Drosophila melanogaster: one gene and its partner. The protein of the gene in region 1 interacts with the protein of each later gene in a pairwise test. Each region holds a gene or a part of one and is shown on either strand. Other genes may lie near its edges.

The links. Proteins that work in one complex are often made in the same cells at the same time.
Region 2: the proteins of CG18371 (region 1) and l(2)05714 interact in a two-hybrid assay, tested with the Drosophila melanogaster proteins (one large-scale study listed by BioGRID).

The regions. Positions count from the first base shown.
Region 1 is NT_033778.4:14,024,448-14,031,719, reverse strand, and holds CG18371 (uncharacterized protein), read right to left. Parts: upstream 3,101-7,272; 5' UTR 2,987-3,100; coding exon 2,654-2,986; 3' UTR 2,624-2,653; downstream 1-2,623.
Region 2 is NT_033779.5:4,966,705-4,974,574, reverse strand, and holds l(2)05714 (lethal (2) 05714), read left to right. Parts: upstream 1-3,089; 5' UTR 3,090-3,278; coding exon 3,279-3,521; intron 3,522-3,790; coding exon 3,791-4,363; 3' UTR 4,364-4,428; downstream 4,429-7,870. Other genes in the region: mRpL28 (mitochondrial ribosomal protein L28), read right to left, coding at 1-298, 418-438; CG14043 (uncharacterized protein), read right to left, coding at 961-2,763; Polr1C (RNA polymerase I and III subunit C), read right to left, coding at 4,429-5,290, 5,351-5,490; Scox (synthesis of cytochrome c oxidase), read left to right, coding at 5,750-6,143, 6,207-6,568; eIF3i (eukaryotic translation initiation factor 3 subunit i), read left to right, coding at 6,882-6,884, 7,062-7,551, 7,607-7,870.

The DNA of each region.
Region 1 (7,272 bases):
CTGCTGCTGATGCTGCTGCTGGTTTGTCGTGCGCCGTTTGGCAGTCGGTTGAGTACTGGCACGAGCCGCTGTCAGCGAAGCCAAACGAAGCGACTTCGAGCGACGCGAGCGACGCTGGCAGCGGCAGCAGCAGCAGCAACACGACGCCAGCTGCGACGCCGGCAGCGAGAAAGTTTGCTTTTTGCATTGTTGCAGCGCCGCAGCGAGTGAGTATCTGTGTGCGAGTGGGTGGCTGTTGGTATGGGTGTTGCTGCGGGGATGTCGCTGTTAGCCATAACAGACGGTTGATAAGCTGCTGCTGCTGCTGCTGTTAGCATGTTGCATGTCAGCTGCTCTCTCTCTCTCTCTTACTCTTTCGCTCTCTCTTGGCTTTCATGTTGAAACCAATTCGTTTGTCATTTGTTTAATGACACAAATATTTGCACAAAGTGTTTGCATTTATGTATGCCGCGACAACCTGTCTTACCCCCCCCCCTCCCCCGTTCCACCATTCCAACCAAGCTCCACCGCTGCCCCACTCGCTGTTTTCAATTTCCATTTTGGCGTCATGAAAGTTTTCCCTCAATTTGTATTTGTGCCATAAATTTGATTACCACTAATAGACTAATAATAATCCAACTAATGATCACCGTTTCTGTTTTCCTTGCTTCGCTTCTTTTTTTGTTTTGTTTCTTTTTTTTGTGGGTGGCTTTCAGGCAAATTGAATTCGCTGCCCACTTTCTGATGGCTGTTAAATTGGGTTGAGCCTACAAGGACGAAATCCAGCGAAATCCTACCCAAAAGCCAGGCAACAGCACAAAACAACAAACAAACGTGAACAACTAAATAAGGAAGTGACACCGGAAACAGGCAGCGACATCAACGTCGTAGGAATGCGCAAAGGAATTTGAGCTGATGGTAAAGCGGGGGAAACGTTGGGGGGTGGGGGGGTGTTCTGGGAAAATTCAGAGGTTTTGGGTTTGTGTTTGGGGTTTCGCAGGAATCACTCACAAAAATCCAAGTGAGTCCAGTGAGTCGAGTGAGTCGTGCGAAGCGCTCTTTATCTCGCATTTTTAGCTCGTTTATAAGGCAACGACACCGGCCGGCTGAAACTAGTTAAGGCCACACCAGCAACCCTCTTCGCTCGCCCCAGCCTCTCTGCCACGCCCCCTTGCCTCCTCTCTACAACAACACTCCTCTCGCCCCCCTCTCTTCACACCGCTTACAGCTTAACCTATAAAAATTCCGCAAACCCAACATCCACAAATGGGAACACTCCACCCCACTCCGCATGTGAAAATGTTCTTTTTCAGCTCTCTCGGAAAATCTGGGCGCCTGTTACACACGCAACGAAGTTGCCAACACAACCTCACATGAACGCACACACGCGACTCGAAGCTGTTGCTGTTGCGGTGATGTTGCTGCCGCTGCGTTGATGTTGCTGCTGCTGCTGCTGCTGCTGTTGCCGTTGGTGTTGCCGCTGTGTCAGTGCCGTTCATTTGTTTGATTTTGTTGTGATTATGCGCAGTGCTTCGGCGGCAGAGACGCCGGCAGTGACGCCATCGCCCGAGCAGTGGCAGTGGCGGCGTCGTGGTAGTCAGCGACCCATGGAGGGCATTTGGGGGCGCAACAACAACAGCTACAACGCCAACAGCTAGGCGCGCTGGGCAACTGGATTCTCGCTCCGAGTTACGAGTTACACTTGGACAACTCGAAAATGTGATAAGACATGCATGTGGCACTTTGATTTCAATCCGATTTTGATTTAAAACCACACGGGTTTAAATCGGAATAAGCATCATCAAATTCGGAAATATGGTATTTACAAACAGAGTTACACTTAATATTACTTAGTATATTACTTAAGAAACCAGCTTGCACTTTTCTAACAGCAGGCTAACACATGTAACTGTCAATAATGAAATTCGGAAACAGTACAGTGAACTTTCCAACACTTGAAATCTTAACTTCCTATGCAATAAATGCATTCGTTGAATAGACAGCGGATTACGTACATATATGTATACGTATAATTCATATATATATATCTACCGTTATTCTCATAACAGATAACATTTACCCAAAAATGCATTTCAAGGCATTTCCTTCCGCCTTGAGAAGTCACGACTTACTAGATTTTCACCTTCAATCAAATAGTCAATCTGTTCTTGTTCAGCGCACTGCGATAAATATTTGTGGCTCTCTGTTGTTATTCTAGATTTTCCTTATAGCCAGTATTGTCTGTTGCCTGTTGGCTGCTGTTTGTGTGCCGTAAAAACTCATTGCCAGTTTGGGGCGTCGCTCAACTGGAAATGTGGCCAAGCCGAGGCTAAAACTGAAGCTGAAGCTGAAGCTGCAGGTGTCTGTCTAACCAAGTCATCTCACATATATATATATATACATATGTACATATATTTACTTTGTAGATACATATATTAAAATAAGTACATAGTGGATGTGCCAGCCTCCATGTAATTGCGCTGAGCATTTCTTTGTGCGGCTTAATTAGTGGCTGGCAGCAGCCTGTTTTTCATTTTAGAGGTTTATAAATGATGCTCGCAGAAGCACAACTGGGCTCCATTCGTAGGCAGCTCAATTTAAAGGTCCAAACAAATAGTTACAGCAAATACACAGTTCCAATTTTCGGTAGTAGACTACAAGTCTAAATTCTTTATTAAATGGCCTTTTTCGTTGCTGCCACATTGTGGTAGCGAATCGAGAATCGGCTAAAGTTGTGCGAAGTGATCTCCTTGGTGGGCGTGAATTCCGCCCGCTCGATAATCGAGCGCGGACTGCCGATATTCAGTAGCCAGAACTTCAGCACGTTGACCTTGGGCAGTGTGCCCTCCAGCTGTCCCTTCACCGTGCCCTCGTCCGTGTTCATCACCCACCCGCGCACCTGGTTCATTGTGGCCAGATCTCGTGTCTGCTTCCGCAAACACACACCCTGTACTCGCCCGAAGAGTTCGAATCCGCAGGAGAAGATCTGTTCCGCTGGCTGCATCATCTTCAATATGCTTCGTTTTTTCTAGAAATAACTCCAACTTATTGTCGATCGAGAGAGAGATAGAAACAGAAACTCCACTTGTTGAAATTTAGTTGATTTTTGTCAGTGTTCGTTACAGGAATGTCGCAAGCTCCTAGATTCCCTTAAGCAGTTAAGTGTTTCCTTTCGGAATGTGCGCTCTGCAGCACAGTGAAACCCAAATAATGTTAACACAAGCAAAACTTGCTAAAATTAAATGTTAAACTACTGGGTGTCAATGATATCGCCATTATGTGCTTAAATTAAAATCGACGAAAGAAATAGGGAGTTTACGTTGGAAAAAGGAGCAGTGTATCGGCGAGAGCGCTAATGACATTGTATCTATTGTATATCCATAGCGTATAGCGTATCCCATATCAGCACTGGGGACTCATAAATCACTTGCCACACTCATTCGCACACACGCACACATTCACATGCGACGCCAAGTTCATCTCATGGCAATCCAATCAACTGGCAATGCCACAAAAGTTTGCAACCACCAAACCAGAGCCGAAACCCTCCCCCCCCCTTGTTCCTCTTGCCAGCAAGCCTCCTTCCTTCCCCCTTCCCCCTTCCCCTTCCCCTATGGCCCATGGACACATGAACACCCCCCTCGAAAATGGCAAAACACCACCTATGGGCAGCGCGAACAATAACTAGCGAGATAAACAGACAACATTCGGCGTTAATGCAAACGCGAAACGCCGACATCGCAGGCGATACTAAGGCAAATATTTAATACGATATTTATGGCCTAGGCACAGGATCAAGTGCAAGCGGGATGGGTAGACAGAAAGAGACCAAAAGGGAGAGCATGGGGAAATGAGGTCCTTTGAGCCAAGGTATTTGCAAAAGATGCCTGTGATAAATGACTACAGTTACAAGTACTCGTCCGACAGCTTCCAGAAATTGGTTTCCCGATGACTACATAAATTATACTTTTTCACAATTATGTCTAAGGTTTGTAAGGAAGACTATTAAATATTAACGATACGATATATTCTCTAGAAATTAACTGCTTTTCATTCTTCCACCCTGACGTTAGCGTGCAACCGAAAAGATTTTCCCCCTTTACCATCTACATTTTAAGAAACCAAACGTGTACGTATGTTGAAATGGCCCTAAAGCTGTCAATTTGGTTAAGCGAATTTAAAAGTTTTCGCAAAGTGGAACCAAAGGCTTCCAATTTGGCCGGCACACTGTGGCCAATCCAACTCGAACTCCGTTCGTCGTGTGCCCATTCAAATGAAACACAGCACGAGCCTCGGGTTCGTTTCGAGTTTCAGGTTGGATTTCAGGTTGAGACCGCCACCGACGTCTCCATCGAATTCGCAGTTCCGTCGCTGCCTCCGTCGACGTCCGTTCGATACTGTTGTTGTTGCTGCTGCTGCTGTTGTTGTTGTTGCCGTCGAGCCGAAGGTGAGCAAGCCAAATCAAACAAACCGAAGCGCAGCAAAAAAAAAAGTACGTTGAAACGCTTGAAGGGACTTCGCATGCCTCGCCGTTGGAGCTACGAACGAACGGGTATATATGTTTGTATGTACATGTAGGCATAAGTATAGGTATCGGTATATCTATAGATACTATAGCTCATGCTGTTGCTGCCAGAAACTGCGCTTCAATTGCGACAGCAGCAACAACAACAACAACAGCAAGTCGGTAAACAAAACTCAGCTTCTCCGAAGGCAAACTGCGTGAAGTGGGAGAAAGAGAGCCACCAGCAGCTAAGAGAGAAATTGTGAGAAATTGAGTGATCTTGCAGAACGGATAAACACCAGATAAGCAAGGCTAACAGGGAAAATTCAACTGCACTTAATCACTGATATCAACAAAGGGGGTTTCTTTAAAGATCAATTTTGTATATAAATATATATATATACATAAAGTGGTCATACCAAAAAATATGTATTATTGTTATTAAGTTATTTCCTTGTGGTCTTGATATCATCTTTATAGATTAGCTGATTTTCATAGTTGCAACATATTTCTTGGATTTTGAAGTTTCAGTTTCTGTTTAAAGTATGAACACCATGCTAATACTGTTTTCAAATACCTAAAAGTCAAAGCATTTTCCTATCGTTTCGTTCAAAATTTTTATTGTTCAGAACGTTTGGCCGCCAAGCCAAACGGCGCCAAGCACACACACACACACACACACACACACACACACACATTAACACAAATCAAATCGGAAAAGGCGAAACAAAAATAACAACAACTTGGAACAGCAACAACAACGTCAGCGCCAAGAACAACAATTAAATCGAATTGGAAATTAAAAATAAAAAAGTACAGTACTCGGTCTGTTTCAAGCCCACAGCGTTTTCCCCACCGTTTCTCCAAATTGAATTGAAATGCAAACGAAAGCTAAATACTAAAATTAGCTTAATATAATGTAAGGCAGACAGGGCAATAACAACAAGTGAATAGAAAATCAAAGCGAAGCATATAAAACGGCGATAATTCAAATGCAAAATGTAAACACTTCAAAGCCGCGCGACGGGGAAAGCGGTCGGAAAAGCGGAGGAAAAGCTGGGAAAAATACAGCTACAGTGGCATAGGAAAATTGGAATAATAAGAGAAAGAAGTCGAATGGCTGCGGAGTTCAAAAGGGGAGTGCTTGGGTGAGCAGCAGAAACTCGCACTACGAAGACTTGACTTGGCCTCTAATATCTCACTCACTCACGCACACACGCACATTAAATTGTTTACGCAAATGACAAAATTATTATGCAGTGCAGGGAGAAAAATGATGGCCTCTAAACGTAGTAGATATAAAAAATAAAGCCCAGATGGTAATATATTAACGGATATTAAAACGATATTCTAATTATAAATCTGATTTATACTCATTCCAATCTGATTTATCTTGAATGTCAGCGGATTCTCGAGAATCCACTCAGAATAGGGTTAAGCACACTCAATCGCTGAGTTGTCCCACGCTGCGTATACGTAACCCGTGATCTTGACTTATCAGGCTTATCAGAATAACTCGACGATGATGCAAACATTCCAGTAATGGCGACTCCTTAATGCTCGGATACTTAGCTTAACTTACGGTTTAATCTGCACAATATGCATATCTACACGGTACAACAATGCGTCGATGGGACAAACAAAGGGGGAAACTCACCTGCAACGAGAGAAAGAGAGACAAAATACTGATTAGCCACAAATGCAGCGTAAACGCAATGAGAATGATAAATCAACTGGCTAAAAATACAGCAAGCACAACGGCAACAACAACAACAACAACAAAATCACGTCAGCGGCCAAATAAGGCAAACAATTGCAAAAATCTGCATGTTGACGTCGCTGCCCGCGCCGACTGTGCAGTTGCGTCGCAGTCGAGGAGCTAAAAATATTTCACTCGGCTCGCTTAGAAAATCCAAAATTAGCTGGCACGGCGTGCGCACAAAATCCAAAATGAGGAACACAAAATGAGGCACAGTGGCGTGCGATCCACTTTCTAGCACTCAAAAATCAATAATGGCAGTATATGCAAATTAGGCTGCTAATTGATTTAATTCTATTAAAAAACTATTAAGTATACAAAGTCAATAGTTTAATAGTTTTTTTTTTTACTGGTTACATACCAGTAAGCATTTTATTGATTATTCAAAACAGTGAAAAATAATATCCTTTTTAATTTGACAAAATACGAACGAACTAAATTTCACACCCACTGTGCGGCGTTCGTGGCGTCACCGTTGAGCGACGACAGAGGCAGAGGCTGAGGCAGTGACGGCGAAGTCAACGCCGACGCTTACAGCGTGCGACAGCAGGTTGGCAGAAAGTCTGCCACTGATAACGGGAAATGGCATGCCAGCAACAGCGGCAGCAAAAGCAGCAACAATAAGGAGAGCCATCGACATTCACTCACTCTCTCACTCTTTCTCTTACCGGCTCCCCACTTTACTCACACACTCACTCGTTGGCGCTCTCGCCTCTTCCTCGCTCGCAGTGGCCATGTCTTCTATGCTCTCGTGGCTGGCAACGCTCACGCCAAAATAAACAACAAATGTAAAGTGCGCCCCTTTAGCAATGTGGTATGCACGGAGAAAAACCTACTACTGCACTTTTAATACAAGGAAATATTTTTAAAAATTTTGTTTTTTTTTTTTAAACCTAATTGGTAATCGAGTCTCGGGTTATCGCCTGAAGATGAGTTAGACCATTAATTGCATTTCCCGATTAAATGATTTGTTGCATACTTCAAGGACTGCATAAGATTTTCGTCCATAAAAAACTGCTATTATTTCTCC
Region 2 (7,870 bases), on another chromosome or scaffold:
GCACGCGACGCTTTGTTTGCTCGCGTTTCTGAAAGCCCTTGATCACGGCCTCGCCACCCCAGATGCCACGGTGCGATTCCGGCGTATCGATCAATGGCAGCGGGATGTTCTGCACCGGCTTGATGGCGTGCGTCACCTCATCTCGTTCCCACTGCTGCTCCTTGGGGATATAATGGACCGCAGCCGGGGTCGTCAGCTTCCACTCGCGCCAGAACTTCCTGTACGCCTCGGGCAGCTGGGCTCCCAGACCCTTGTCAAAGCGACCCGGACGCTTCCATCCGTTTAATAGCTTTACGCCCTGCAGAAGGTTTAAACGCTTTGTTATTCCATGGGGTTTACGAAAGTTAACGCAGCTATTGCGTCACAGAAACGCGGCGCACTACCAGTTTCCTCTTTATTTTTGAGGCAATCACATACCTGTGGCGTGGCGTGTGCCATTTTTTAAGGAACGAACTAGCAGTTTACTGTTATTATTCACTATTAAAACTATAGTGGCAGTTTAAACTTGGCTATTAAACTATATTTTCCCTGATTTTGGCTAGGCCAACGGCGCTCTTCCTCTTCCTGTTTGGAAAAAACAGCTGTTCGTATGTGAATGGCTGGCAGCCAGGGTTGCCAGGTTTGAAAAGTATTTCGGAGACAGAGCTTCGTTCAATTTAGTTTTGTGAAATTTAGAAATGCTCGGCAAAAAATTGAGTTTCGAAGTAGTTCAACTTATTTATTATAATCAATATATGAAACAGTGCGCCAAGCCATACTCCGGCATAAGTACCATTCACGAGTAGCAAGAAATAAATTTATGCTGTCGGCAATTAAAATCGAAAAGCGGCTTACTTTCGCTATCAGAATGTAACATGTAAGTTACTAATGTATTAACAATTAAATATCCTTGAAAGAAACGCGATTTATTTTGACTACGTATAAAGCTTTTAGCAAATGCAATTAATTTTTTGGAAATTCTCACGCGGTTAGCCCAGCCTTGTTCAACCTGGCCTTAATCGTGTTTATCTTGAGCGGCAACAGCTGGAGCATTTCACGCACAACACCAATCTCGCCCTGCAGCGTCTCGGCCGCCTCCTTGTGCAGCTGGCAACCAGCATCGAATCTCTGGTAGTAGGTGTGGCAACTAGTTAGGTGCTCCAGCTGCTGGAGCGGATGGCCACTGATCAGCTTGTAGTAGATGCGACCGATGTGGAAGTGGGCGTAGAGCATGTGGCGTTGCTCCTCCACGTCCATGTTGGGTCGCCATTCCTCGCTGGGCGGTTTGACCAGATAGGATTTGACATAGCTCTCAAAGTGCTTGATGGCCTTCATACAGCTCTGATTGACCTTCTTGATGTCCTCCGGCGCTGGCGTGCTAGTGGCCCGAATGATGTCGAGACGGACATCCATCACGGCAGCATGAGCTGTGCCGGCTCCATACCAGCATTCTCGGCATATCTTCATGTAAAAGATGGGGTCAAGCAGATCCAAAAGATCTTCCAGATACTTGGCGCGACGCTTTTGCATCTTGGCCTGGTTTTCTGGATTCTCCTCGAAGAAGGCAATGTGCTCATACGCTTCGGCGTAATCCTGCATTATCTTTGAATACTCAGTAGCTTCGTTCTCGGCCTTGTAATAGTCCTTGGCTATGTCGAGCCACTCGTTCACAAAATGAAACACCAACTTGGCATCGTCGAAGGTCAGGCAGTATTCACAACTAATACGATTTTCACACGCGGTGAGGTCAAGTCCAGGAAACCGGGACTGTTCCGCCTCGACCAGCCGCATATTGCGCAGAACGATCTCCAGGTTCTTGGCATCCTCGTCATCTTCGTCCCGCATCAGCCGAAGCTTGGATGTGTTCATTAAATACAATCCATATTTGGCCCAACAGCGTGCCACATCGGCGTAGCGATGTTTAAAGGTCTCCGACACGTCCTGGCGCTGCTTCTCGCTCATCTCCGGCTCCAGCATGTGCACCTCATATTCGGCCATGATGAGCGTAGCAGCGGCCAGGTGATGACGGGCCTCCTCGAAGCGCTTCTCTCCAATATAGAACTGTGACAAGGTGGCGGTGTTCAGTGCGAAATCAATGGGATCGTATGTTTTTGACTCAAGCTGTCGATGGAGGGTGCGATGGCAGCACTTGGCCGACTTTTCCGGCTCACCCAAATGCCCGTACATTTGCGCCATGTAAAATGAGACTAGCGTGTACAGGGATTCCAGTTCCTTGGGACCAGCTTCGTGAGATTGTTGTCCCTCCTCCGGAGGATTGAACACATCTTGAATGGCCAGGGGCTTCAGACCACTGGCTTTGAAGTCCTCGTAGATTTTTTCTGCCTCCAGGAGAATTTCCAGTCCCTTATTGTACTCTTCCTTGGAGGCCAGCACAATGCTAAGCTCGTTGATTGCCCCAATGAATGGAATGATGCCCTCAGGGCACTCCTTAAACGGCGTGACTAGTTCCAGACAACGATTGAGCATCTTTTCGCCCTCTGCCTGCTCCTCTGTGTAGATGTAGATCCTGCCTAGATCCCGGCAAACGAAGGCCAACAGAGAGTGATAGCAGCGATCGTCCTGACCACCGTCCTCCTCGCTGGCCTGCACAGATACCAGTTGGTCGTCCAGCTGCTTCTTCAAGACAATTAGCACATCGCGCGCTTTATAATGGGAGCGGAATGGATCCGTGGGCGGATCATTGCGGCTCTCCTCCTCCACCAGACGGTTGGCCTTCTCGTATAGCTCCTTGAAGTCGCTTAGGATCTCCTTTGGAATGACCATGTTGGCTGAGCACCCACGGTGCAGGCAAAAGCTATCCTGAATTCGGCAAAGCCTTTTTATTTACTATATTTTTTCTCTATGAGTGTGTAGTGTGGCCGTATTGTGACTGCTTAAACTTTACCTGAGACCCAAACCATGAAAGAATATTTTATTTAAAATCTCAAACTAAATTAATTTGAACTATGTACAAGTAAGGTATTTTCAAAAAGTACATAACACAACCATAAACGCCTCTAATATAAACTTGAAGGCATAAAATGTTTATATAAACAAAACAGCTTAGTGTGACCGTTGCGCAGCAACCTCTATGTCGCAACCCTGGAATTAATTGCTGGTATTATAACGTATTCGATTACAGTCACACCGCATCGACTTTCAGATTTTTTTCGCGTCGCAAATTTTTGGAATATACCAAAATATTTACCACCATCAGCTATTAAAGACTGCTTTTGGCGCTCATCTTTCAAAGAATACTTTTCCACAAATCAGACAAGCTTCATCCGAAAGCGGGCACAATGCTGAAGGGTTACAAGACGGATGAGGACAAGAAGGTGAAGCGACTGTACCACCAACGCTATCGCACAGAGTGGGAGAAATATCCGGAGCTCTCCAGCTGGCTGGCGTCTAGTAATGACGGTTACTCGGCGCACTGCAAGATCTGCGACATCAATGTCCTCGCCAGACTAGCGTCCATCAAGCAGCACCTCGCAACGCGGAAACACCAGGAAAGTTTCAAGTACCACAACATTCTTGCCAAGGTGGGATTGGGTTTGTGCATAAGCAATAGGAATGACCCGTGTCCATTATTGATTCAAATATTTTGCGATCCAAACTAAATTTCAAACACGATTTTTGTGTGAGTTTTCGCCATACTTTTCGTTAACTATTCCATTGACTACTTCTTGTGCAATGGTTAACCAAACCAGTAGCTCCCTCTATGCGATGCACAACTTATCGCTCCAAAAAAAAAATTCTCATCTCATTACTAATTTACATAAAATTAACAACTCCGTATTTATACCTACAGAATATGATTAAGGGTGAACTTGTCAAAGATGAGCATGACCCAGACTTGGAGGCCTCCATAATTTCACCCAAAGCAAAGCCCAAAGCCAAATCAAAGACCTATCCAAGGCAAAAGCCAAGGAGCAAAATGCAGCCAAAGATCAAGAACGACACGAAGGTGGAGAGCATGGAGGAGGAGACGGAGGAGGACGAAATCGCCTCGAACGACTCAATCCTGGATGATTTACTCAGAACAGATCAGCCCTATCAAGAGCAAGAATTTGAGGTTGAGAACGAGTTCCTCGAAGTACAACAGAATGAAACAGATCTCCAGGACCAAGAGGTGGTCTACGAGGAAGAGATGATACAGCTCAAGCCGGAAGATACGGAGATTAATAACGAATACCAAGTCGACGCGATGACGGAAGACACCATTATTAGTGAATTTGACTTGTTTGGCAAGAGTTTGGCTCTGCAGCTGAACAACATGGACCTGGAGGACGCACTAATGTGCCAGGAGCGTCTGCAGGTGGTCCTAACGGAATTTCGCCTGAAGGTGCTCAAGCGCAAGAGAGAGCAAGCACGATCTTCGTAGGCTTACAATTTATATCAAGCTGTCTTATGTACATAATATAATTTCTTTAACAACTAAATAAATAACTATTCTGCCTCAATTTCGTCAATTAGCGCCCGGCACTTTCTCTTCAATACCTTGACCGCCTCCAGGAAGATGACATCGGGCTTCAGTGCGCCGACTGATTCCACGGAGAAAATGTAGTGATCTCGGATACGGGCCAAAGTCACAGCGTCGTTTAGCTGGGGATAGCGATACACATTTCGGCTGCACGTGTCGTAGCGTGCATCCTTTACATAGGCAGTTTCATTCTCGTCAATGCCAATTACTCCTGGTGAGAAACAGTTCTGTAATAGGTACGCATCCTTACCGGTCACCTCGCGGTTCAGCTTAATCATGGGCAGCAGTCGGTAGGTGGCCGTGGCCACCGGCGAGAATTTCGCGTGATCCCGTCCAAGTCCCTTAACCGCCACCAGGCGCAGATCCAACTCGTGACCCGGACGCAATTGGGCAATCAGTATGTCATCGTGAATGCAGTTCACAGCACTCTCGCTGTATATCTGCGCCTGCTTTCCTTTGGGCAGCCACTTCAGATGACCCGAGTACACTTTGTGGTTTTTGTAAATGTCATCGAAGTTGGACTGATCTTTTCCAGCATCCCGTCGCCGCGAGCACTTCACCTTCAGCTCAAATTCAAGCGTATCCTGCTCGGTCCCCGCCTCAGTGCTTTCCTCGGTGCGGTATGCGAATAGACGGGGATCAGCCCGCAACGGAAGTAGACCCATTCGATGGGCAAGTACCTCGTCCTGGATGATCGAGGTGTTGTTGTATATGTACACCTTTTCGATGGCCATGCTGGGCACATCGCTGAGCATCAGGCGACGGAAGGCATTTGCAATGGCGGGATACACGCCAATCAGATCGAACTCCAGGCCGTCTTCGTCGTTTCTAGAAGTGAACACCAATTGTTAATCGACTCGTAAGATTCTAATTTCTATTGAGATTTACCTGACGATTTTGATGTGCAGCTTTTCCTTGAAAGCCTGAACGGAAAATACATCGTCCGCCAGTCCATAGTCCTGCGGATCCTGCTTCACCCGATACTCCTCCATGTACAGAAGCGGCTCCTTGCGATTTTTGCTTGCCATTTGCCCCGGTGTTTTTATTAAATAATTTAACAAAATTGAACCGCACGTGTTGGAATCAATAAGACCGCCTTCTAATACCAAAATATACCAAACTAACTAACAAACTAACTAATATACTAAATAAATATACTTTATGTACTAAATAAATGCTGTTTCGCCGTGACTGGCTGAATAGGAAGAAGCAGCAGGACACCGGCGATATTTTTATTTCTCCAGAAGATTTACGTAAAGCCTTCAAATTTCTGAAACCGGGCGTAAGATGTCCCGCTCCCTGCAACGCTTAGTGGGCAGCTGTCGTCGCTGGGCACAACAGCCCGCAATTCGTCATTATGCCGCTCCCGCAGATTCCACTAAAGGCAAGGGTCCGATCTCTTGGAGAAGTCTGGCCGTCATTGGAGCCCTTGGAGCCGGAGGAGTGGGCTTCATGCTGTACGTGAAGAGCGAGAAGGATGAGGCGAGAATGAAGGAGCGTCAGCGGCAATTGGGAAAAGCAGCCATCGGCGGCAGTTGGGAATTAGTTGATTCGCAGGGAGCTGTTCGCAAATCGGAGGACTTCTTAGGCAAGTGGCTGCTCATCTATTTTGGCTTCACCCACTGCCCGGATATTTGTCCCGATGAGCTAGAGAAGATGGCCGCCGTCGTCGATGAAGTTGGTAAGTAGAGCCTGACTATTTCTTCCAAACCCAAAAAAAACCATGTTTCTCAAACCTTCACAGAAAAGTCCCCGCAAACGCCAGCAGTGCAGCCCATCTTTATCACCGTTGACCCAGAACGTGACTCCAAAGAGGTGGTGGCCAAATACGTAAAAGAGTTCTCCCCCAAACTGCTGGGACTCACGGGAACCGTCGAACAAATCCGCAAAGTGTGCAAGGCCTTCAGGGTTTATTTCAGCGCTGGACCGCGGGACGAGGACAACGATTATATTGTGGATCACACCATCATCATGTACCTGGTCAATCCCGATGGCGAGTTTGTCGATTACTACGGCCAAAATCGGGACAAGGACCAGTGTGTGGCATCCATTTTGGTGAACATAGCCAAGTGGAATTCAATGAACAAAAAGGGATGGTTCAGCTAGGCTGGCTAAGCTAGGCAAATGTTGTTTCGTTGTATTTACTTAATGTATGGCATAAAATATGGTTTTTACTTGATGTATATCAAGTTTTAAATCCAAATTTTCGTTTATATTGGCTATACCTTAAGTTCTAGATTGTAAAAATTTCTGGTTGTTCAAAATAAACTTGATTAACGGTATTTTTTAGATCCCCCTGGTATATCGAAGTGAGATTTTGACTAGGCCACGGTCACACTGCTCTTTTGGCGTGTAGTGCTGCGTGGATGTTGTTGCAAAAATATTCGTTTTCTCGCAACAAATAACAATATAATACAAAATGGTGCGTGCCTGGTCAATGACTACACAGTTTGCATTATTCCGGATGGGTTTCTTTAGAATTTACCCGAAATTACAACTATTTGCAAAGTGTGAAAGTCGTGTGAAATTCCGGACCAAACATAACCTTAAAAGCGGCCTAAATTGTTGCTAAAAATTCGTATTATTCTGTCTTTTATAGCGTCCGTTGATGCTTCAGGGCCACGAGCGTTCCATAACGCAAATCAAGTACAACCGCGAGGGCGACCTGCTCTTCTCCTGCTCCAAGGATCAGAAGCCCAATGTGTGGTACTCGCTGAACGGAGAACGTTTGGGCACCTACGATGGTCACCAGGGTGCGGTCTGGTGCCTGGATGTGGACTGGGAGAGCCGTAAGCTCATCACCGGCGCCGGTGATATGACCGCTAAGATCTGGGACGTCGAGTACGGCACCGTTATCGCCTCCATTCCGACCAAGTCATCGGTGCGCACCAGCAACTTCAGCTTCTCGGGCAACCAGGCAGCCTACTCAACGGACAAAGCGATGGGACAGAGCTGTGAACTGTTCCTCATCGATGTCCGCAACGCCGATTCCTCGTTGTCGGAGCAGGAGCCCACACTCCGCATCCCGATGACCGAGTCCAAAATTACGTCGATGTTGTGGGGTCCTCTGGATGAGACCATCATCACAGGTTGGTGTTTACCCGATAATCTATTATGAAAACCGTTTAAAACCCGTATTTCCAGGTCACGATAATGGCAACATTGCCATCTGGGACATCCGTAAGGGTCAAAAGGTGGTTGACTCTGGCACGGATCACAGCGCTGGCATCAACGACATGCAGTTGAGCAAGGATGGCACCATGTTTGTGACCGCCTCCAAGGACACCACCGCCAAATTGTTCGATTCGGAGTCCCTGATGTGCCTCAAGACCTACAAAACGGAGCGTCCAGTAAACTCGGCGGCCATCAGCCCAATCATGGATCATGTCGTGCTGGGCGGCGGTCAAG